Drosophila melanogaster: one gene and its partner. The protein of the gene in region 2 purifies or fractionates together with the protein of the main gene of each other region. This does not show direct contact. Each region holds a gene or a part of one and is shown on either strand. Other genes may lie near its edges.

Region 1 (14,331 bases), on a different chromosome or scaffold from region 2:
ACTATAAGCCAATTTTGGAAAAGGCCTATTTACCCGTGGACAGTATATATAAAAAGAAAAACTTTAAAGGATCTAATCATCAATATGAACTCGATTTTCCATTGGAAACTGTAAAGGATCAATATCATTTCAGGAATCCAGTCGACGGTTCAGCGAGTGCTATGGATTTTCACAGTGAAATGGGAAGAAAGGAAAATAATTTTAAAAACCCGGATTATAGTTATTCACCAGAAAAGTCATATGACAATAGCCTTTCCTTTAAAAATGAGTTCGAAAGTGGTAATGAAAACATAAATTTTAACGCACCTAAGGAAAATTTGAACAACCACAACTTTAACTTTGATACAAAATCAGAGTATCAAAGTTTACCCGAAAGCAAAGTTAATGATTTTTCCTGGACCCATGGAAACATTGGAGACGAAAGCCTTGATTCTATTGTGACCCATCATATGAAACAAAGACTTCCAGGTGAGCTAAAATTCTATTTCAATGGCGTGCAATCAGTAATTGTAAAATTTTAGGTAACGATAATGATTTCAATTTCGATCATTTGAAGCCGGCTAGTAGTCAAAAATATTTAGACTTCAGTTCCAAGCCGAAGATGAATCCATATTTGAATTACCCAAAGAGCAATTCCTATAAGACGTTTCCACGATCAAGATACCTAAAAAGGATGAAACGATCCGCGCTTGAAGATCGTCATATGGAAAACGATGAAGATTCTGATTTGGATCCAAAGTATGATACCGATCTTAACTCATTGAAAGCGTTGAACTTGAAGCACATTGATGATAATGGTGAAATTCCATGTGATACTTGCGGGGGCAAGAATAAAAAGAAGGATGAAAAGCCCCGAACAATGTGTAGTAATACTTTGGAGGATCCCAAAAGCATGGAAGGTAAAATCGAGAATGTGAATACCAAACTGGATGATGCCGTCCCTTGTGACACGTGTGGTGGTAAGAATAAGAAGCCAGGAGGGAAACCCTTGCCTAGTGGATTGCCTTCTGAAATCAACAGTTTAAGTGAGGAAAATGAAGAGCGTCGCTTGCCCGACTATATGATACCTTGTGAATGTTGCAAGAAAGCCAATAGATACAGATACACAGAAGGCAACCTGGATTCTGCATCCTGCGGCTGTGTTACCAACCCAAAAGTGTGCAGTTGTGAATCCTCCAAGTTATCCCGAGCTTTAAACAATACGTAATTGTTTAATATATATAATAATTTTCTGATCATTAACAATTTCCATGTTTAGTTTAAAGGAATGGAGCTATACGATTTTTAATATGAAGAATCCTGTACCATTTCTAACCACCAAGCTGCGTGTTTTTAGAAGGCGTCACAACACGTGGTGGTTGGTTGTTCCGATAGTAACGTGAGTTTAAATGGTATGGTTATAGTGATTTAATAACTTAAAAATTATTTATTAATGAACTAGGCTTGATAGTTTATCAGGCATATTTGCAAATGATGACTTTTCGGCTGTGTTTACTTCTCACATCGATATGATTCGCCTGGAGAAATTAACAGGCTTTTCCAATCGAAATCTTGCTGTTCCCAATGAAAATGAGAATACATTTGCTAGAAAACGACATGCCATTACCCTAAAAGACTTGCAGAATAATATTGGGAATAGTGTTCTGCTGGATGAATCGAATAAGGACGTATCTATTAGGGAAATAAAGAGATCTTTCAACTTGAAAGCTCAAAAGCAGGATAGTATTAAAGGGTTAGAAACTAGAAGCATCAAAGGATTGGGATATCTTCCAGTGACTATGAATGCGTTGGATAATTGCCCTCATAAGGACAAAACCCTATGCCTAAATATTCGGGACGAGAAAGTACCAGGTGGTAATCCAAGCACTATATATGTATATATTCGAATTTTTTTAGTCATAATCTTATTTATTTAGAATTTAGTATAAAAGTGAAGATACCCTTTCGAGAAAATGCTTTCGTTATGCGCGATAAGCATATAGTGAAAATATCAAGAATCGTTACCGATGCAACCACAAAAGATGCGCTTCAAATTTCGATCGATGTTATAAACAATGGTTTTCAAGCCCAAGAATTCATCATACATATTTGCAATTGCAATATTTTAAAAAGTGGATCAGCATCGAATAGTGCCAGAAGATTATTACAGCCTTATATTGGCCAAACCATAATTTTTCTATTGCCCTTGATAGTAGGATCGAAGAAAAACAAGAAATACAACTGTGATGGTAGGTTTGAAATATATTTGTAATTATTTTAATGTGCTATCTAAACTTTAAAGTGATCGTTAAGGCGAGCACAGAACTTGATGACAATGATATCAATCTAGCGAAACCCGTTGACCCAAAAGTAGGCGTGGTTGCCAAAAGGACAATGGACATTAAATGCCACTCGAGGTGCTTTTGTGTTTGGCGTTGTCGATGTCACTGCATCGGAAAGCTGGAAACTTTCATAAACTACAATGCTTGTGAAAGAATGGATCCCAAGTCCGAGAAAGAGGCTGGACTCATCTACAATTGTCCACCGGGCAACGAGCCACAAGATGTGTGCATCAAGGACGTTTTCAGCGATCGAAATGAGGAGATAACTTGCAATCTCTCCTGTAAAGTAATAGCCATTGCATTGATAGTTCTGATTTTACTATTCATATTGGGTAAACCTATTATATACTGCTTTAAAATGCAATATAAAATATCTTTCTTTTCGCAGGACTTTTAAAGGCCATTCTCGGCATCTGCATTACTTGCATAGGTCGATTTGGCTTCGACACTGTACAGCCTGGCAGGACATACGAATACACATCCTGCATTAGGATCTTTTTGATCAACTGCTTCTTCTTCATCATATATCCCTTTGCCTGTTGGTTCAAATGCTTCCGACCAAAGGCGAAGGACCTCATAGATGCTAGTTCCGATTGGGATTGCATTTCCCAGGACGATGAAACACCCGAATGCTCCTGTAACGTAAGTGGAACAAACTATATGGATTTCCAAATTTGTATCTTATATAGATAAGAATTATGCTTTAGAAAAAGGAGTCCAGTTCAAGTTGCCGACTCCATGGTGGCCAGGATATACAAGATAATCTAGTGCTACCCTTTGCTCCACTGCATGAAAATGGTTTATTTAAGGACGAGAAGTCAGACGACGAGGAGAGTCATTTGTTTATCCTAGAAGTGTTGGAGGAAAGCAAATGTTCCCTGACCAAGATGGTAATTATGAATCGTTTTTTTTTTTTACAGAATATAAAGAGTTCTTCTTTGCAGATGAGTCAAGTCTTGGATCCTGGTCAGAATGTCGAGCAGGCCACTGAAAGTCCAAGTGTCGATGATATGGCGGCCGAAGAGTTTGTGGAAAGTCTGATGAACTCGCAATTGGCTTATAGAACATTGAGTTCGCCAGTTGGCGGAGTAGTAGACATCCCGAATAAGTATCAGTATTGCGTGAAAGGGTTCTTTGTGCAAACTATAAGCTCATCGTTTGAATTCATGAGCTTTCATCCATTGTCCCAGTTTGTGGGAATCACAGAGGAGGTAATTATTATATCATCTCATGTTAGTAGCTTATTACAAATATTTCCTTAGAACGAAGTAAGGACTCTGCCACAACCTCAATACATCCACTCCAATGAGTTCTCTAGAGTGTATGCTAATAAAATGGAGGTTCATAAGGCAGGTGATCTGTCAGTGGTTCCTCCACCGAATGTTCCTTGCATCAATATCGACCATGAAAATCACTTGGAAAGTTCCTTTGTTAAGCTTGCAGCGCAACAGGAGCAAATCAAAGCAAATCAGAAATAAAAAATTATAATCATTACTTATTTTTATTAAATTTTCAATAATTTACATTCTTAAGTTATATGCTAATTCAATGGAACGTTGTATGCAGAATGTTCATTATATGGAGTCGTTGTCTCTATATGTCCATCCATAGTTTCAGCTATTCCTGCCCTGATGTCTATTAAACCACTTCCATCTGAAACCTCACTTGAAGTATCCATTTTGATCTGGGACTCGGGTGAAGTAGTAGTTTTGTTATGTTCATCGTAGTACTTAATAAAGTAAACTTCCGTCTGATTCGGAAATGGACTGACTACATCCACTTGATGATTCGAAATTGGCTGGCTTATGGAAAACTCCGAACTTGTTTTCAGTAAAGCCTCCTCCCTTTGCAGTTCATCCTTTATAGTCTGGCCAGGATCCCTAAATTCGTATACGGATGTATTTTCAGATGCCTGACCCTGGTGCTCATCCGGGGAATCGTAGATGAATCCACCATTGTCCACCGCTGAGGACAAAGGATTGACTGACACAACTTCTCGATTGCTATGCTGCTGATTGCTTTCATATGCGATATGCGATGGCCGAGGGTCGATTGGGGAGTATGGTTGACCTACTGAATTAACAACATTGTGGGCGTTGAAATCAGATTGAGATTGAGTCACATAATTTATGATCGGTTTTGGAGTGGAATTGGGCACAATGTAGTGGTAATGTATGTGCTGAACTGGTCGTGGGTTTTGTATTTGCAATTGAAAATCTGATGAGTAAGTGGATTGAGTGTTTACTTGTGATCCGTACTTTATATGCGTAGCTGATGGGTTTTCATTGATCTTGGCTTCTGGAGCAGCATTTAATTGAGAAATATCATGGGGACAGGGATTTTCTGGATCAGTACTCGATGTGCGAGTTGTTTCACCTAAATAACTTGGCGGTGGCAGGATGTTCTGATTAATTTCTTTCTGATTTACGCGGTTTACGATTCTCCCAATCGACTGAGCTTCAATAAGAGAGTTTTTTGTTGAATTATATGTATTATTATCTTTATGAACGGCAGCACACTCTCCGTGGAAACTTCCAAATAAAATTATACTATACGCCACAAGCACTCTTATCCAAAGCATTTTTTTTTTTTGTATGAAGTGAACAAATGTTTTCACAAGAGACTATCAACAACTGTCTTTAATCCGCTTTGCATTCGGACTTTATATGGATTCCAGATTACATAAATACACTCTGAATTGCTCGGATTATGTCAACGAATCCCAACTATGGGCCTTATCCAAAGCGAGCTTAATTTGCTTGTTTTTCGGTGAAAGTCAAATCGAATGCAATTAATAGAGGCTTGATTTGCGTGGGTTGTCAAATTAATACGTTCATAAAACCAACCAATTGTATAAAAGTTTCTCTGAAAGAGTATGAATATAAACAAAAAGCAGTGAAAGCGTAATATTTTCTCAACTTTAAGAGTTTAAAAACCATTGTACATTTGGGAACTTTTCAAACCCCCCACACAACAGGCGGCCAATGAATAACAACTAGATGCGTTACTTAGCTCTTTATAAAGATTTTATTACTATAAAATGTATTACAACAAATATGTAAAATGACAATAAAATGAGGAGAAAATACACTATTACACACATATATATGCTTTGCGAATGTAGTTAAGCCTAAAACTTAGCCCCATATTGTTGGCAGGGCATTATAGTGTTACTTAATATAAATGCAAAATCACTGTAAAAATTTCAAACTTAAGGTACTACTAAAATTATTATTTATTACTTGTTTATTATTCATATTTAGATTCGATTGATATATAAGACATATATGTATGTATGTTTTTTGTGGTTTTATATTTTGTATATTTTCATGACCTATGAATGAGCTATGCAGAGACACTTTAATATCGGCTTTCGGTTTTCGGCTTCCTAGCAAATGGTTTTAACAGGTGGTTTCTAAAAGTGGATCAGGCTTATAAGTACTCGTAAAGGGGTTTACATTATTAACAATTGTGGAATCTTTGGGGCCTCGTTGTAGGGATATAAAGTCTTCAAGGTGGCTTGTACTCTGCACTGCGGCATCCCTACTCACATGAAATTTGTCCATCTTGTGAGGGGCAACCAGGTGAGCCTCGCCCACGCCATCAGATGTCGGAATTTTGCTAACGTTACGATCGCTGAGGGATAATGAGATGTTTTTCTCCAAAGGCGGTTCACGGATCTGCTCGGACAGTCGACGGATGTTCAGGGGTAGTTCATCCTTCGATTGAGTGGGAATCGATAGGGAGCTGTGTCTAGAATGCAGCTTTTCTACTTGAAGCAATAATCTTGCTTGAACATTCGGACACAGCAAATTACTATTGTTTTGTTGTACAGATTTTCTAACATGGTTCGGCAATGGACTGGATATCTCCTTCACCTTGTCCGGTAAAAAACTAGCTGACTTGCTTTGAATGTTGGCTTTCAGATCGTTAGAAGGCTGGTCGAGAGACCAGATTTTATGCGACGTGTTGCGATATTGCGGAGAGAATGGAGCAAAAAGCAATCCTGGCTCATTTAAAAATACTTGATCATCGTCCAGCTCCGTTTTCGAATGCTTCAACTGCGGCTTTGCACACTTTGATTTCTCAGTTCTGGTCGAAATTAGTTTATTGTTTATGGAAGAAAGGGATTTTTCGCGGTAGAAATTTTTCTTGGGAAGCCGTGAGATTTCCACAGCAGCATCTGTTTGTCTCTTGACCCACGGATCGATATTGTGATGCATGGTGTTTGAATACTTTTCCGTTTTGGGGGACAAGCTGTTCTTAATATGCGAGTTCTTTATCCATGGATCCGAAGGATACACCAAACAGCCCGTACTCCTATTGTTCGTATCGTAGAGAAAGTTAGCTTTGTCTAGCTCCAAGTTGTTTGGGGAAGTTTGCTCCGATTTGCTAATCTTATGGGTAAGCTGTCGATAAAATTGATTGTCTGAATTACTGGAGAGCTGCCTTGCTGTTTGGGTACCTAATCGCGAAGACTTCGTGTTCTCACTGTCGTCGGAAATTATGATGGCCTGTTGAAACCCACTCTTGTGTAACGTCAGTCTCGGAGACAGCGATTTTTGCTCCTTTCCAATTACACTTTTCAATTGCAAACAACCCTCGGTTGAATTATCTAATGCGTTTTTTTCCGACGCTGAAGAGAGTTTCGGGTCTTTTAATTTACTAATGGTAGATTTGTTACCAGTATCTGAGCTCAGTTTAATTTTGATTTCTTCGTTTGCTTCCGCTTCTGAGCCATTCGATTTTTGGGCCTTCTCGCAGTTGCATATTAGAGTTGATGAAATGGATAAGACGTTTTGACTGTCCTTTAGAGATCGGTTAGATGCCACTCTTTTTATACTTTCAGTGTCGATTTGTTGGGACACTTTGTTATTTAGATATCGACCGGAAAGTTGGGTATGCTGGCTATTTATATGTATATTAGCATTCATTGGTGAATGTGGAGAAAGTACTGGAAGTGTTGGAGCAATATTTGGTTGTTTTAAACGAGAAACAAAGAAGCCGTTCGACTTCATATCGGTTAATGGTGGGTCATCTTTCCTATTTTGTTTACTATGTCTGTTTCCGCACGATTTACTTGATAGTTCCCTGCTTGGGAACTGTGGTGAGAAGGGTTGGGCTTTTGAATATGAGCCCGACTGTTTTTGCTAAAGAAACTTCTGCTCGAGAGCTTTAGTAGAACTCTGGCTGGAATTTGAGGCACCTGCAAGAAGAGCGAACACACACACATTAGACATTAGCTGATCACAAATTAGAGAGAAAGTTACAAATCATAAATGGTAAGAAGATATTCACTGTTTTTCCTAAAAGCGTAGAAGCCAAACAATAAAGTGGTTGCAAGTAGAAAACAGTTCACTTTCAAAGTATCAAAAAATTACTTTATTCAAACTTCTTGTCCTTAAATATTAAAACCATATTACTGTAGCATATTGCTAACAGATCGTTTTAGAACTTAATGCGGTTATTGTTTGATTTTTCTACCAATATGGTTAAGTATAAGATGATATGACCTATGCTTATTCAATTAATACGGGGACCAGGATCACAATGCTGTAAGAATGGGGATCTTGGTGCAAGTCTCCTGACAACTAGTTAATTATAATCTTTTAAAAAATGCAATTCTCGAATGTATTGATGCGGCTGAATAAATAATTACATTGCAATACTTATAGTTAATTACAAACCATCGTTTTCAATCCGTTTGACATTTGTGTCCACATTCTTTTTACTTGTTTCGCTTCCTGCCGCAGGGGCAGGATTCGGGTGCTTTGAACTTAGGGACGCACTACCGGCGGCAGGGTTTGAATTAGATATTACGCCCGATGTAGTGTCGCTAACGCCTCCGTCCACATTATTCTTTAATTGTCATTTGACGAGTTCCACCGAAAGAAATTTGCGCAGTCGCTCGTAATAATGCGGATGCAGTTCCACATCATTATGTCCAGCACCCTGAAATCAAAGTTTCTCATGAGTTTGCAAATTAGGCTAAGTTTTAAGTCATATCATTAAATAAATAAATAAGAATCGATACGATGAGATCACATTGCTGAGAAAGATTGATTGAATTGCCAATTTTAATGTTTATGAAAAGCTGTGAACTTGATACGAGACACTTAATCGATTTCAGGGAAAACGCTAGACTATTAGAATGAATAATAACAATAATTATTCCGGTTAAAATGCTGCTTAATAAGTGCATAACCTGCTCTAGGCGGGTAATCAATCAAGAGTAATTACCTCCACCCAAAACGGCTCGACAGTCTTAGGACACCGCTCGTAGATTCCGATGCCATGGGAAAAGTCAATGACCTCATCATCGGTGCCGTGGATAACCAGAACCGGAGCCTTCACCTTAGCCACCTTATCAATGCTGCGTGGAAATCCGATAACATTAGAATTGGCTATGAACGCAATTCAACGAATTATCTCACCTGGGAAAGGCGTCGAAGAACCAGGTTCTCTTTGTGTTCCTAAAGACGACCCTTAGGCCGGACATCAGCGGCGAATGGAGTATCACAGCGCCGACCTCGTGACGCGAGGCCAGGTCCACAGTGGGCACAGTGCCAATGCTTTGGCCATACAAGATGATTGTCTCCGGGCTGATGTTGAATCTGGTTTGAGGGTGCATAACGAGTTAGCAAAGCGGAATCAATGGGGTGAACTAGAAGAGCTTACCTGGTTCTCATCGCCTGCCAGGCAGCCTCGATGTCCGCATACAGATTCTTCTCGGACGGCTTGCCGCCACTCATTCCGTACCCGGAGTAGTCGTACCCAAAGATATTGCAGTTGATCTGGGAGCCCAGGGTCAGGTAGAAGCTGCTCATTTGGCCCAAATCCACTGCATTCCCGTGGGAGAAGAGAAGTGTGTACTTGGCATTCTTGCTGCACCTGACATAGATGCAGGTGATCAGGTTGCCACGCGAGGTGCGCGTAAAGAAGGCCTCCACTTTCGATTTCTCACGTTCAGAGTACTGCCACTCGGCGCGGTCGAACAACTGCAGGTTGTACCGGATGTTGGTGTCGTCCGCCGGGGTCAATTTGTACGTGGGCTCCGGCGGCTGGAAGGCCAACTTGGCCGCAATGGGACCCGGACACGGGGGGCAGCAAAACATGCAACAGAGCTCGCTGATACTGAACATGCTCGCTCCGTGCCTTGAATGTCTCTACGGAATGCTAACGATTTCGATTTCTCGCCTCAAATGCACGATTACCATCAACAAAGGACTAACGGAGTTTTTGGGTTCAGACTTCGGGTTCGGGCCAATTCGCGTCTATATCATCTATACGTGGACGAGCAAGATGTCAGTGGGCTAGGCGACGGGGGTGACGAGACAAACATAACATTTCGGGCTCAGTTCGCACACAGAATTCAACATAATCGAACGGTTAATGGGTAAATTGTCTTACTGAAATTTGGTACACTCACATTTACAAAATGGCAATGTAGATAGGCAAACAACCACAAAGAAGTAAGGTGGCTAAAACGCCCTAAAAAACAACGGCGCTTTTGGTATTTTTAGTGTGACCGCCTGGGCAGCGAGTACAAAACACCAGCGAATCGAATCTCTATTTTCCCCAGAACGAACTGGAATCGGAACGAGGGATATATTTATTCATTCATATTCATTTGCCTTGTTAGGCAAATACATTTCAATAATGATGATTTAAAACCTGTCATGAAATGTGTGCCTGCAAATCTGCAAATAGTTTTTAAAAACTCTCACAAAGCGTGTTCAAAAATGCAGACCACCTTAGAGGAATATTTTAAAGTAAATTTGGGGAAAATTTTATATAAAAAGTATCCACAGTTTTTGAGATGTGTCCAGCTATGAAGTAGCCCATATATATAAGAGCCCTTAAATATTTTGTGCATGTAAATCGGATTTGTTTCAATATTATCTGCTTCAATACTTTATAAAGTTATGTCATACATAACTCTTCACGTTTATGTACATAACGAATGTTTGTATGCACATTTTTCAAATTTGGTACATAATACGTAGTCCTACAACTAATTGGTTGTACCAAACCAAAATTGTTTCCTACTTTTATAGTTTCTATGGAGAAAGGATTTCACCCGGGCTCATTTGAAGAATCCTAGTTTGGTAATAAACATATTTAGAGAATGCTATTCCATAAGACCAATGCGCATAAAACAACCTGATCTTATCCCATGCATAAAACAACCTGATATTATCCCATGACTTTAAGGATGTTAAGTAATAATGTGTATTGTATTAATATTGGCCAATAGACTTATGTTTTGAATATTACAGTTTCATCTGGAAGATCAAAATAATAACCTGAGATCAAAAACACTTAAGTTTACAGGACTTTCCCTAGATAAAAGCAACTTTCAACCATTTTTTCGTTAAAATATTTTCTGTAGATCATTGAATTTATGTAGTAAAGTATTTCAAAATTCGGCTTCCAAGTCTGTGCCACCTTTCTTGTAAGACATAACAAACTACATTCCGCGCCGTATCGACCGACGACCCCGCTCCCCCTTCTTTCCAATGGGTGTTTTATAATGTATGTGGAAGTGGATGTGGATATGGATATGGATGGTAGCGAAGGCGAGGTGTTCCGACTAGGGTTGAAGTCAAACATATGTAAGGATGATTGACAGCTAATGGAAACAAAAGCAATTCGAATACGTGTGTGTGCATGTGTGAGATGCAAATGATTTGCAAAACAAGGTAGGAAGGCAAGTTAACCATTGCGGACCTATTTTCGACCTGTAATCGAATTAATCGGCGTCTATTTATATATTTACAACCTGTAGTTTGTTTTCGAGCTGCAATTATCTAAGGAACCAAATAGATTGGATGTTAGTTATGTACATAAGTATATTCCCTGTGGCAATAGGAATTGCAAATAATACACAGTTTAAACTTCACGACGGAGATAATAATTATGGGTTTTACACATTATTCTAATGGTAAACTAAAATAAAAAAATAAAGTATCGGGTGCTACAGCTAGACTTCACAGACCTACATAGTTGTATAGTTTAAACAAACATTTAATACAATTATAGGCAGTTCTTTATTGACTTTAGAGATCTTCTAAACTCAACTGTTTACAATACGGCTTCGTTTAAATAAGATGAGTACACAAGTAAATAACATAAGATTACAATAATAGGACCACTAGTGAGTATGTTTTAGACATAGCTTGGTTTAACTCTAGTTTAACTATAACTTTCATAATCAAAAGACGGGCAACGGGCCGTTATGAAAAAGCGGCGGTGTTTTCTGGTAGCAAGGTATGTTGCCATATTGGCCGTTGTAGAAAAAACTTGGGAAGTATAACTGATACTGCGCGGCGAGTTCGTTGAAATTGAATGGCAAATTAAACGGCGGCTTTTCCAACGCGACGGCATCGGGACTGCCGTACTCCATGGGCACTAATCCCTCATTTGGCGTGCTCGCCGGATCCGGAGCCATGAGACTCTCGATGGTGAAGGCGCGCTTTGGCCGCGCCGGAAGTTGGGTCACAGTCGTCGGAAGGATCGGCGGAGTAGCCTTGTAGGGTGACATTTGGGCAGCAGATGCATTGGCGAGCACATGACCATGCCGCGCCGGATCGGCAAAGGCCATCTGCGTTAGCTGATCGTCCAGATAGTGGGTCACCATCTCCGTATTGGCGGCGGCGGCTAATTTCCAGTTCGAAATATCCTTCTCGAGCTGCTTGACGCGGAAACGTTTTCGCCGCCGCAGCAGGCTGCCATTCTCGAACATATCGAAGGCCATGGGATGAAGTGTCCAGTAGGAGCCCTTGCCGGCCTTGGTCACATTCCTCGGCACCTTGATGAAGCAATCGTTGAAGCTGAGATTGTGCCGCAGTGAGTTTTGCCACTTTTGCGTGTTCTTCCGGTAGAATGGAAACTGATCCATTATAAATCGATATATCTCACTGAGCGGCAGCAATCTTTGCGGCGAGTGTATTATGGCCATGGCCGTTAATGATATGTACGAGTAGGGAGGCTTCTGATCACCGTAGCTCATTTTCAATGGGCGTGGCATTGCGAAGAAGTCGTTTCAAAAATTCACACAATCGTTCCCCGTCCGCACCAAATAATTCCTTATGGGGTTTTTTTTTTTTTTTTTGAACTTCAGAGCGATGTTTTCTCGGCGGCAGCAGCGTTAAGACTAATGCGAGGGGCAGCAAAACTTCATGTTTTATGGAACTGGCTGCTCGCAAAGAGCAAGACCGGATTTGGAGAGCTGCCTCTCGCACACATGCCCATGCCCAACCGGTGGTGGTATGTCAACTATCCACAATCCAGTATCCAGTACTCACTATGCCGAGCGAGAAGGCAATGTTGGCCAAAACAGGTCTCGGATCTGGTTGTCCTTGTCTGAGCGGCGTGCCAATGGGAATCGAAGGTGTTGTTTACGGCGAATTTCGAAATGGGTTGCCCGGAGAGTTTGGACCAATCATCGCGTATGCGATTACCCACACACAATATAGCCTAACACCAGGAGCAGCGTGGCGGAAAAGCGTTTTGTCCCGGCGACAAGGCAACAACGGCAATAAGGCCCCATTTTTTTCCCATCGCCATTTTCAATTTTCGTCGAGATAGCAGCACAATCGCATTCACATATGTGCAAATGTGCTGCAAAAGCACAATTGCAAGGGGAAAGCCCTTGATTTGCAAGCTTTTGTCAATACCTGTTTATTTTATATGAATTGTGGGCGGGTCGGAACATGAAATAATAAAGGAAACGCTCGTATTTCACTTCCCATCGTATTGCTTCGCTTCAGAAAATGATTTAAATTGTTTTGGCTTTTGCATGAAATTGAAAAATAAATTATGAGCACCAGCGTATTTGCATTATCTTGTACGTTTGCCAGCTTTAGTTGAACATATCCGTACAAATAAATTAAGGTGCTTTCCGTTTTATATTTATGTAGAGATAACATGTACTATTCATACTTAAATTTTTTAAGGATAGAACTTAATAAAAATTGTAAGCTAAGATATTTTTATCATATTTGTACTTTGTTTGTTTTTTATTATTGCTAGATAGGCTACAAAAAGCTATTGCACGATTGATTTGCTACTAACAAATTTTAATTCTTATGTTACTAACTGATGTCAATGTTTATTTATTATCTTATAACTTGTAATCATGATTTTGAATATCATATAAATAGTAAATTGATCTTTGAATAAAAATTATATATTCGATTTGGTCGTTAGGGGCTTAAATTTAATGTAAATGTCAGCAGTTGGATGACACTTCTTAAACTCATAACACACTCTAATTAATTTAGGAAAAATTATTATTAAATCTATATGAAATCTAAATCTATATGGCAGCTGAACTACTTCTTACACGGAGTGTCTGCAGCCTTATGGAAGCCAAAAAAAAAATACAAATCACAAAAATATCGGTTTTTAAGGTGTTTCAGTCTTCTTCCGTTTAATGATCCCCTTCATTTCCTGCAGTGGATTTTAAATAATCCTGTGGTTTAATTACTATTATTAATGGGACAGTGTAAGCAAAAATACAAGGCTTATGATAAATATGAATATAGTGGTAGTCAATATTTTTTTACAGAATTAAATTGTTATAAATGTACTCGGAATTAAGCAAATATTTTACTTCCAACCGTCTCTTAGCTTGTTAATAGCTTAAGTCGTTTAAATTGTTCTGTTGACTTGGAGAATTAAAGTTAATGGGATTGAGGAGATTATTTGCAGTCAAGCTTGAAGTTAATTTCCACATAACATATAAGAGCAAGAAAAAATATCTAATGCATCGCCTTCCAATAACATATTTATCATTTCTTCAACTGTCCAAAGAAAAACACCATGCTATTTACCCAACGAGTAGTAATGAATACGGCAATAAATAACAATAATTTAGAAGCAACGCTCTACTAACTCAAAGATCCCTCTCCAGACTGCCAATGAGATAATTGAGGTGTGAGCAGAGAATAAGAAGGGGTCTTCTTTTTATTCGTTCGTTAATTAACGAACTTGGTGTCTAGCTTCC
Region 2 (10,866 bases):
CTCCTGTTCGCCGGACTTCTTCATTTTCATCTCCTCCGCGTCACGCTCCTTTAGTCGATTCATGATGTCCTTTATTGCCAATTTTCTTTCCTCCTTTCTAATGATTTTCAGTCTTTCTTCACTGTTTTCATTTGATGACATAGAAACCATTGAAATATTCACCGAAACAGACTTTTTACTATCGCCTGAAAATCTCGAGAGAACTTCATCAGCCAAGCTTCGTACCGCTTCGTTTTCCTCCAACAAATCAATCTGAGGTTCTTCATTATTCTCCGTTTCCATCGTGTATGTATATATTTACTTCACTACTTATTTCGTTTTTGCATACGATCTTAAGTATTTGTATTTTTTATATTTGTTTTAATGTGCTTTTGCTGTTTTTTTTGTTTTTTATTATATTTTTAGTGTTTATGTATAGAGTTGTTGTGTACTCGTGTACATTTGTTATGTATCTGGCCCTATGCTTTTTTTGACAGTTTTTTCATCGAGACAGATGTTGTGAAGGGTACACTATAGTGGTGTACAAGTATTGCTCTTTCAATCCATTTACAACTTATTGTCACAGTAAAAGCAGCCAAACGATTTTATTATAAATTGTACTGTTTTATTGATTTGTGGATTCTTACAACTCTATATACTTCTTCCCTCTACATAGCTGAGCCGACGTTGGAGTGACTTTAGGGTTTCCCTGAGCTTGGCCACCGTTTCCCGCTTCTCCTTCAATCGCTCCACAGTGTTGTCGTAGTCGTACATCAGCGAGGGCATCGCCAGGATGCCGCCGTGGAAGGTCATATCCCTTGACTGCTGACGCATCTTCTTCCGCTCCAATTTCACTTCGTAGAGACGTCTACGCAGGTCTGTCTGATTTTTCATGGCATTCTTCAACCGGATTTTACTTAGCTCAAAATTTTCCGCCAGAGCCAGCGCCTTTTCTCGATTGTGTCGCGTGAGATGAACGTCCATGAGGAACTGGGTTCGCATCCTCTTCAGATCGGTATTGCGTTCTGCGGGAAATTTGTTCATTAGCCCATGTATTTTTTTTAGGCAATAATGGTGCTCACCCTCGATTTTCTTTTGCAGGGCAAACACATTATTTTGCACGGACAAGAAATCTTCGATACTCAAGGTCTCACTCAGTGTGTCAAGTTCCTTGATTTTCTGCTCAAGTCACAGAAGAATAATGTTAATTTGTTAAAAACTGCTGCGGAATTCGCAGTCCACGGCAGACTTACCCCCATAATGCGACCTAAGGTGTGCTTTCTTGTGATGAGAAACAGTCTGGAGTCGCTGATCTCGTTCCGCTTGGCTGTCATCATTCTCAGTTCGCGATCAACTAAACGTCGCAGATTATCCGATTCGGGCCGGACCAGGTGTTCCCGGAACAGGTGCTCCAAGCGTTCCTCAGTGATCGAGGCGACACTCTGGGCGGAGTGGAGATCCAGGATCACTCTGTTCATCTGGATGGCGTGCTTGTGCTTGGCCACATCCAGTCGATACTTCAGACTGTCAAGCAGGGCCAGGGCATGCATGTATCGGGAGTGGAATCGTTTTTCATTTTCCGGCGAGAGTGTGGCGAAGACACGGGCATTGCGATTGCGTTTATAATATTCCACAAGTCGATTGCCCACCATTTCGTTGGTGTACTTCTCATACAAATATGTAGTGATGACTTTATCAAGCTCGGTCAATAGCTTATTCTTGTCCAATTTCGCCCGAATTTTATTGTCCTTGTTGTGGATGTCCGATAAACTAGCCGTCTCCTCGAAAAGGTCGTACAGTAGTTCACGGACTACCGCCTTGATCTCGAGAGCATGCGAAATGACTGGATCGTCTCGGACCTCGGGAACTGCAAAGGCAACCTTTGACAATGTGCTGAATGCATCGATAGAATCTTGGTTTTGTTCCACTCTTTTTACGACTGGAATTTCATCGAATTCCGGTATGTCGGAGACATCGAAAGAGTCGACCTCACTTTCTGGAGCCGCCTCCTCAGCCTGTTGCTCTTTGTCCACGTCTCCAATCGATTCCGACGACGAGCTGGAACCGGAGTCCATGTTCGACGTTGGATCCGCAAAGAAGCCATGATCTTGCTGGACGCTTATCACCGACCCAGCGTCCAATGACTGTGAAGACTCGTCGTGCTCCTCCGATATGTCCGACAGACTGGGCACATCAAAGTCCCTCAGAAAGTTGGTTTTTAACTGGACTGAATCCGGATCGCATTCGGTTTTTAACGTTCTTGTCGATACAATGCTTATGCCAGTCAAACTAACCGAATAATCAATGTCCTCATACTTCACATCCGATTGGAATATGTTTCTATCAGCGGGGCCATCTGAGAAGCCATAGGTGGGGAATAGGCTGACCAATTTGGGTGGATGGAATGGATAGTCTTCTGAGTCGTCGGTGAGAACTGACGAGGACACAGACTCCCCGTCTCCAATGGTGGGCTCATCAAAGGTGACTACCTGTTCCTGCTCTTCTTCCTCTACCTCATTATCCCTGATCTCTTCCATATATTCCGGTGTAAAATGAACTGGGCTCTCGATTGCTGTCGGTGCAAAGCGAGTGGTTGCGAAATTCTTCAAACGCTCCTTTCGCTCCTTCTTCAGCTTCAGTTTCTTTTCTTCTGGCGATAGTTCATCTGATGCTTCCGTTTGCTGCACTTCATTACCAAGCTCAGTTGCTTCGATAGCTACGTGTTCGGTGGTTTCCGCTTCCTGTCCCTCCTCCGTCGCCACCTGGGCGGTAATTGCGCCAGATTCGATCTGTGGCTTCTCCTCCCGCGGCTCATCGCCAGCTGGTTGGTTGCCCTCCTCTGGCTTGGAGATCACTTCGGGCTCAGCTGTTGATTCTGGTGGCACAACCACTGGAACAGTGTCTACCTCGGATTTTTCACCTGCCTCGATGGCCTCCACCACGTGCAAGACTTCTTCCGTAGAGGCATGATTCTGGGACATTTTTGGTGTTAATGTGTGTGTGTGTTTTGTTTTTTTTTTGGTGTTTTTGTTGTTTTTAAATGTTTTTATTATTTTATATTTTTTTGTGTGTGTTTATTTTGTGTTACCTGTGGGTGTGTTGTGTTTTTGAGTTTCTATCTTATTGTGACAAATAACTCAAGCTAAATAATAGGTAATAAAAAGTTTATGTCAATATGGATTAATTAAAATTTAAATATATAAATAATAAATACATATATCCAATACTTTTTGCAAAGCTCTTGCAGTACAAGTTATAAATGAACGCATTTGATTTAAAGAAAAACTGGTATACTTTTAGGCTTGACATACTAATACTATATCCATTTAGATTAAACGTTCTTAAGCAATAAACAAAATGAATTTAAATGATATGAACTTGTGTAAACAGATTCTTTAGTCTTAATAAGAAGGCGATTTTTTATTTTTAAGAACTACAGCTCCATTACCGAACTTTGTGTGGAATTAAGGCGAAACTGCCGGACTTTAAGCACCATCTGGGGTCCAATTGGAGGACCTAAGTAAATCTTGCGAGGGCTTTAAAGTTGATTGATCGTTGCCCATTGTGTGCGTGTGTTCTTGGAATTTTTTTTGTCCGGGTGCGGTAAACTTTATGACATTGATAAATTTTTAATAAATATGACAAAATGTCGGCGCTTTAATTCACTGCCATTTTGGGCAGCGGCACCTGGTGCCTGGAGCAAGGATTTACATAAAAGTGCTGCAGTGCTGAAGAGTATAATTTGCATGGGAAGCACTGCAGCACGTGGAATGGATTTCGGGTCTTAATACTTTCCGTTTGATTGTCTGGGCGTGGAAATTGATTCAGCACAATGCCAAATTGCTTTAAATTATGCATGAGCCTGCGACTTTGCTCCACCCAATCCACTGCTTTCCCTTTGATGTTGCGGAGGACATCTGGGAATCATATTCAATAAGTTGGATCCGCAGTAAGAGGGCAAATAACTTTTTTTATGACAGACGCAATGGGCCAATCCCCTTTGATGGCTGTTAAATAAATTTGTTTTCGATGTTATTTAAGACGCTGCCATTGCCGCGCCTTCAGGTGAATAATAGCCAACTTTCTGATGGATATTTAATAGTCGGGTAAACACCGGTGACACTATAATTGCCCCTACTGGGCACTCATCAGTGGACACATGTGACCTACCGGTGGACGCACTTCCCAGTCGTCTCACGTCTTCTTCGGCGAAACCGAAAGGGAATCCTTTTGCTATTTATCATTCAGTCCGAAACTTTTCGGGAATCCTTTCACTTTTTTTTTTTGTTTGCTTATCTGTCTTAAGTGGCATTTTTGGCTTAGGCGTCTACAGTATCTGTCGGATACTTAGGAGAACTCTTGAACTTGACTTTCCCTCCACGAAACGCTTCAATTACGCTGGCACGTTGCGCCGGCAAAATTGTAATTTACGAGTGTTTCTCTACACAGCGCGGGAAAAGATAGTCTTTTGGATACACAAATCGAACAGATTAAAAAATGATAAACAATTTTATGGTAAAAGTTTTCGTTTTACTTACTTTTACTTATATGAAAAGAAGAAATAGGCAAGCGCTTAACTTTCGGATTTTTTGATTTAATGGAGCTCTTTGGAATTCATTTTTTCATTAATAAATTTAATTTTATATTTTTTCCCAGAAATTATATATACATATATATGCTGTTTAGATTAGAAGTTCAATTTATGTGGGTCGTTCTTTAAAAACAAATATGGATTTCACTGAAAAGCATTAAAAGATTAGATGAGTTAACATATATATTATATATATATTTAATTAAGGAATTTATCTATAAAACAAAATTGTAAAGCTAATAAAAAAATATTATGTATTCAACAAGATTTTGAGTGTTTAAATTTGTTTTAAAATAATTCTGAATACAAAAATATTACCTGTGACTGGTAAATTTACATTTTTTGCTTGCTGTGTACTCGGATTATACTTATACATTTTTGCTCATCTGTTTTGAAGTAGCATCAATAATTACAAATTGCGCGTCGGGATGATCTGTAGTGATCCGTGGGCTTATCAGGCCTGACTTTGGCAGCTCGATAGTGCATCGCGTTCCACAGCCTCTCAATTTGTTGTCATGAATTATGCAAGTGAGTCTGGATTTCTGGACTCGCAATTGGCGCAAACTCGGAAATTGCGCAGTGCCGCGGAAACTGAAAATGGGAGAGAGTGTTATGTGCAATCTATATGAAATATATGTATTTATACATTCGCATTTGATGGAAGCTTTAATTACGGTTGCACCCGTAATCTGAAAATCTGGACAGAAACGAACTTTTGAGGTTTCTTGGCAAATCTTTGCCATCGGTCGTAGTCAGTTTGCAAAATAAGGTCTTGGCGCAAAGTGTGCCTAGAGGAGCACAGGAGAGTTTACATACCTTAAAAGGTTATACCACAAGGACTAGATCAATGCAGCGATCACTGTTACTACTGGCCGTGTCAGCCATCCTTTTCTGTGCTGCAGTGGCTCTGCCCTCAAGACTAACCAAATCCGAGGAGGATTGGCTGGAGCAGATGCTGACGCTGAGCGAAGACAGCGGTGAACTGCAGGACCTGGACGAGAGCACCGGAATCCATATTATCAAACGATCTGCCAAGGATGCCAGCAGCTCATCTGAGGAGCATAATGACAAAGCCAAAGACAAGGCCAAGAACAAGGCGGACAGCTCCGGCGATTCCTCCTCCGAGGAAAAGACAACACCAGCTGCGGTAGAAGAAACAACTACGGAGCACACTGCTAGGAAACGCAGAAGCACGGAGGATACGATGGTGCGATCCTTTTGCCAGTCACTGAAAGAATTCGATATTAAGAATTTCAATCTACAATCTGCATATGACCGGGCCGTAAGCTTTTGTAAGCAAAGGGAGTCTAGACGAAGACGCCAGGCTGCCGATCAGAAATCCAGCGATGCGCCGGACCTGGATGCCCAGGCTGAGAAGGAACTGGACGAGCAGATGGCGCAGGCTGTGGCGGAGCTTTTGAAGGACAAGGACAACACCAGCATCGAAGACTACGCCCAGGGATGCGAGGTCATGGAGGTTAGCTCCAAAGAGGCCAACGAGGCCACCTATGCCGAATGATTTTGAATAAACATAAATAACATTATAGCTTATGTTTTCGTAGCCATATTACATTTTTACTATTATTATAATGACTGAGTCATCAAAACAAGAGATTAGGCTATTGCCTATGTATTATTTACTTTTTAACTTATGGGGTGTGTTTATTCAAGTTTACGAGTAACACGTATAAATATCAGCAACAAGAAATATTTTCCTCTTCTAATAATTAATTTTGCCATATTATTTAACTATTACAATTTTCATTACTTGAAATGCATTTGGAAATTAGCTCACCTAACATTGAAACTTAGCTTATTTAATTGTGTAAGTCAAATTATGCATTACGTGTCTGTTTTAAGGGACTAAGTGCGTCTGTTTCAATCTACATGCATTATAAAGAGTCATTTCTGAAACCCACTATCTGCCTGACTCAATTGAATTTGAGTCTATAATCACATAATCGCCGAGGAGGCGATAGCACATTTGTTGAGGCTTCGCCGGTAACGTGTGCAGCTGTCCAGAATCAGTTCGAAAAAATCAGTCTCAGCGAGAAGAACCCACCCATCAAGCTAGTGGAATAGTGGAGTTTACCAGGATATACAAAGATTACCGGGATGCGTCGATCTGTTTTGCTGTTCCTAATCTCCGCCATTGTGCTGAGCGCGGCACTTCCTTTGCCCCCAATTTGGGAGGACTCCGAATCGGATTCCGAGTATAATGATTATAGTGAGCTATCGAAGCAGCAGAATCTGAAGAGCAGTATCGAGAAAACTATCAGCAAGCGAGCTACCAAGGACACTAGTAACAGCACGGAAGATGATGAGCTCACGGATGGTAGCAATGAGAATGTTAACGATAAAATGGACAGCTCAATGGAATCGTCTTCTATGCTGATCATGGCATCCGAGGAAGAATCGGAGTCCGCTGTCAGAAGGCGCAGGTCTGGTGAGAGGAACAGGAATATAGGGCTCCTGGCCACGATTTGCCCAAATGCTGATTTCAGAGATTTGGAGAACGGTATTACCCTAGATTCTAGAATTGAAATAAGGGATATGTATGCGATTTGTAAAACTCTACCAGAGTCCGGTCGTCTACAGCAATACAACCGTTCATAAATTAAATAAAAGCAAAGAAGAATTCTAAAAATTTAAAAATTCTTCTGAAATTTGTTTCCCTCAGTCATGAAACCCCTGTCTCATTAGTCATCTACCTCATTATCAGTAAAAACCATCCTTATCACGACAGCAGTCGTCAAAGTTGTCTGACCTCAGAGCAAAAATGTCAGTTTCATGTTTGTTTACGCTTTTGAATTTATGATTTACTCATGAGAACTAAAAAAAGGTCTGCATTCTTGAAGTGATTTTAGAACGCTTTGGTAACCAATATCTTGTTAATAAGGATTTAGAAATATAAAATTTTTTTTTGTAATATTACCAACAAAATCTTTTGGAGAATTTCGATCGATACTTATAACCAACTTTGAAACTTCTCTTTGAAACTGAAGCTAGGGTATCTGTTAGTCGAGGAAATTGACCACAGCATGTTCTTTAGTTTCCGTACGAAAAACTATGCATATATGCTAAACGAATTGTTTTTTTTTGTTTTCTGAAGTCTTTTTTGTGATTCGTGTCATCTGCATTTTGCGCCCTTTCCGACGTTTGGGATATTGAAAAATTTTCTCGAAAAAATCGCCTACGGTTTTCTCCCTTTGTTTGTCACCATTTGTTGTTGTTGCAGCTTTGCGGCTGATAAGGCACGTTTTGTTCACTCTTTTATGGCCACGTCAAAGAAATGTGTACGAACTATTCCTTAAACATGCATATCACACACATGAGCATATCCACATTTGTAGTATTTCCTGTGCTAATCGAAATTTCGTTGTCAGGTGTGTGCCACTTTTTTGGGGCCTTTCTCCGAAAATTTCCCACACATGGAACTCTGATTTCCATTGTTGTTTATTTGACAAGTCGAATTCTTTGCCTGTGAGCTTGGCACGTTCAAGTTATTTATTCTGCTTTAAACTTGGCAGTTGACGTGCATCACAAAGATGTTGGGTATGGACATGAACTGCGCAAAGGCTTTAAAATATGATTTTATGGTAGAGGTAAATTAAATTAACCATTTCTTAGTTGATAATAATTGGGATGTTACTCGTGAATTAATTACTTTATTCGTTTAAAAGTATATAACACGTAAGGGAAAGCGTTTCCGAAACTACATAGTATACATATTCTTGATCAGGATCACTAGCATATCCGGACATGTCCGTATGTCCATCTGTCTGTCCGCATGAACGCTATGATCTCGGGAACTATAAAAGCTTGAATTTTCAAATTGGTATTTGAGTAGTGATTTTATAAATAAATTTATAAGGTATCATCTGTTACTTTCATCTCCAGTTCCTTTTCTTGATTGAATATAAAACTAGCTTGCATGCGTAGCTTTAATTAATACTCGTTGTTGAGCAATGAATAATAACTTAATAACAGTGGAAAGAGAAAAAACAGCTGATGCTTTGACTATGAATACCAAATGCACTTGTGAATTTAAACTTGTATATTTGAGAAGATCTTTAATCAAAAGCAAAAAACGCTTCGACTTGGCAAAAAAAAAAAGCAACAAAGAATGCAACAGTTTTGCATCGTCACATTATCTAAAAAAAAAAAGGAAAAACAGACCACGAGGAGCAGAGGAAAAGCGCGAGAGAGAATGGGGAAAATAGAAAAAATGCAGCCACAAAGGAAAACTTCTCGAAAATTATTTTAGTTGCCCAAGTCGAGTGCAGTCGTGTGGAAGTGAAAGAGAAGCCACAAAATACAATAAAAAAAAAAGAAAAACAAAAGAACCAGGCAGCAGGCATAAAAAAAGCGTTAAATACACTTTCCATAATTATCCCTCATAGTCGTGCTTATTCTTGGTTATTCAACAATTTCGGAGTTTCCGTACTTTTCGCCACTTTGCGGGCCAAGATCCAATGAGATTGGGGTTGTGCAATGCGTGACTGCTGATTATATAAGTCGCACAATTACCCAAAGTTCAGGCATTCAACTAGTTCCTTCACTTTCAATAGAAAGTTCGAAAGTAAGCGAGTTTCAGGTTGTGTTGAAAAGCCGGCAAAAGTCGAGTAATATTTTTGCACAGGCGGAATTTTGACAGGCAAACGCAAACAAGCAATCGGAAAAAAGAGCAACTAAAACTTTCGCAGCGCTAAAAAAAAGAGCAATATAAAAGTGGAAAGGTAGAATAGAAAAGCAAGAGTGCCGCCGGCAAGAGTGCGAATTTATAAATAAAACCAGCGGATAGCAGGAAGAGATCCGGTATCTCTTCGCCAGAGAACGGGTAAACAAAGCGATGCCGGAACAACTGGGTCTGCTATGGTCCGTGCCGGAGTCCAAGTCAAAGGCGCCCATCATCAAGGTGTCCTGCGGCATCGGCGATACGGACGGCTATCCCGCCTTCGATGTCGACTCCGATGCGTATGCCACCAAGGACGACAGCCGGTGGGGATTCCTCATAACCGGCGGAGCCGAGTTCCATATGCCGCTGACAGTCTTCCAGGTGAGTTGCGTGGTTAAGCTTGAGGTCGGCATGGGGGTGGTTCACCCTTGGGAACGGGACCATCTGGTGCCTGGCCAAGAATTATATTGATACAGTCAATCTCGGGCCATTGGAAATTTTAGCTAAGGCACTTAAGCTGAACTGGATAACCGGAAACCACCAGGAAAGGGAAAAATACAATAGAAATTTGCAATATAAACCAATTCCTCATTTCACTTCAAACTTATTAAAGTTACACCGCATGAAGATAATTTATAACATGGTTGATAACTAGTGGTATTAAATAGTATGCGTTTGCTTAGTGGTGTTTATTTCAAGTTAAAAAATGATTTAGATACATCGTAGGCTTAATTGATTTTTAAGATTTTAAGAAGAGTTTTGAGAAGAGAAAACCTGCTGACTAAAATCTTTTTTCTATTTTTCAATTATTTGAACAATATACGTAATGTATAGAATTTTTATTGATAATCAACTGGCTTGAGTTACTCTTGCAGTAGTATCTACTGTAGCTTCTTTCCGCTGCAACTGCTGTTTCGTCATTGTTTCCAATTTTTGGTTGCGAGCCAGAATGACAACAACCCAACCCACCAGCCCACGTCAAATTTGAATTCCAATTATGCTATGACGAAGTCGCATCGAATGCAAATTGGCTGCCGCCAAATAGAAGCGGGCATTTTATTGTTTCTTCCATCTGCACCTGCCGCGCCCCGTCTTCGGTCTTCGTGTTCGGTCTTCAGTGCTCAGTCTTCGGTCTTCAAGTCTTTTCTAGCCTTTTAGTTGGCGTGTCTTGTCTCCGCCTGTTTTGCTCTTTTTGGCCCACTTCAGTCTCGAGTGAATGTACAATATTTGGGTTAGCCGAACACCCCTTCCCATCAAACATAAAATAAATACGCTGGTTGTCATAAAAGATATTTGTCGAAGCAGATATACAATCGAATATCGGATCAATAAAAGTATTTTTACACGCATTACAACTGGAGAAATCCCATGATTATGGGTATTGGAAATCAAAGTCATAACCATTTTGTATTTGTATTATAAACAACACTTATAAAAATGTTACGCACTGTACCGTATATCTATGCAAAATGATTTCCCATAAGGCAAAACTATTAGTATTGCTTTTGGCTTTTGTGCAACATTTTACTTTTGACGTTTTGCGTTTAGTCTTAAAGAAAAATATCAATTGTTGTTTTGTTTGTTTTATTTTTGAATTCAAGTCATTTTGAGGGTAACA

Evidence for each region.
Region 1: the proteins of CG4716 (region 2) and CG33096 purify together in Drosophila melanogaster (affinity purification with mass spectrometry, with the first as the bait; one large-scale study listed by BioGRID). This does not show direct contact.

The regions. Positions count from the first base shown.
Region 1 is NT_033777.3:25,093,138-25,107,468, reverse strand, and holds CG33096 (uncharacterized protein), read right to left. Parts: upstream 9,798-14,331; 5' UTR 9,464-9,797; coding exon 9,000-9,463; intron 8,936-8,999; coding exon 8,756-8,935; intron 8,695-8,755; coding exon 8,562-8,694; intron 8,274-8,561; coding exon 8,190-8,273; coding exon of another isoform or gene 8,001-8,189; exon of another isoform or gene 7,684-8,000; intron 7,528-7,683; 3' UTR 7,340-7,527; coding exon of another isoform or gene 5,723-7,339; 3' UTR 5,323-5,722; downstream 1-5,322. Other genes in the region: CG34027 (uncharacterized protein), read left to right, coding at 1-468, 522-1,203, 1,259-1,378, 1,442-1,851, 1,917-2,228, 2,282-2,653, 2,710-2,963, 3,029-3,211 and 2 more; CG45095 (uncharacterized protein), read right to left, coding at 3,862-4,902; CG33095 (uncharacterized protein), read right to left, coding at 5,723-7,339; fd96Cb (forkhead domain 96Cb), read right to left, coding at 11,536-12,351.
Region 2 is NT_033778.4:13,251,266-13,262,131, forward strand, and holds CG4716 (uncharacterized protein), read left to right. Parts: upstream 1-5,321; 5' UTR 5,322-5,417; coding exon 5,418-6,089; 3' UTR 6,090-6,181; downstream 6,182-10,866. Other genes in the region: CG4712 (uncharacterized protein), read right to left, coding at 1-282; CG4714 (uncharacterized protein), read right to left, coding at 631-1,004, 1,062-1,158, 1,233-2,960; CG10799 (uncharacterized protein), read left to right, coding at 6,686-7,186; CG42319 (uncharacterized protein), read left to right, coding at 9,423-9,629.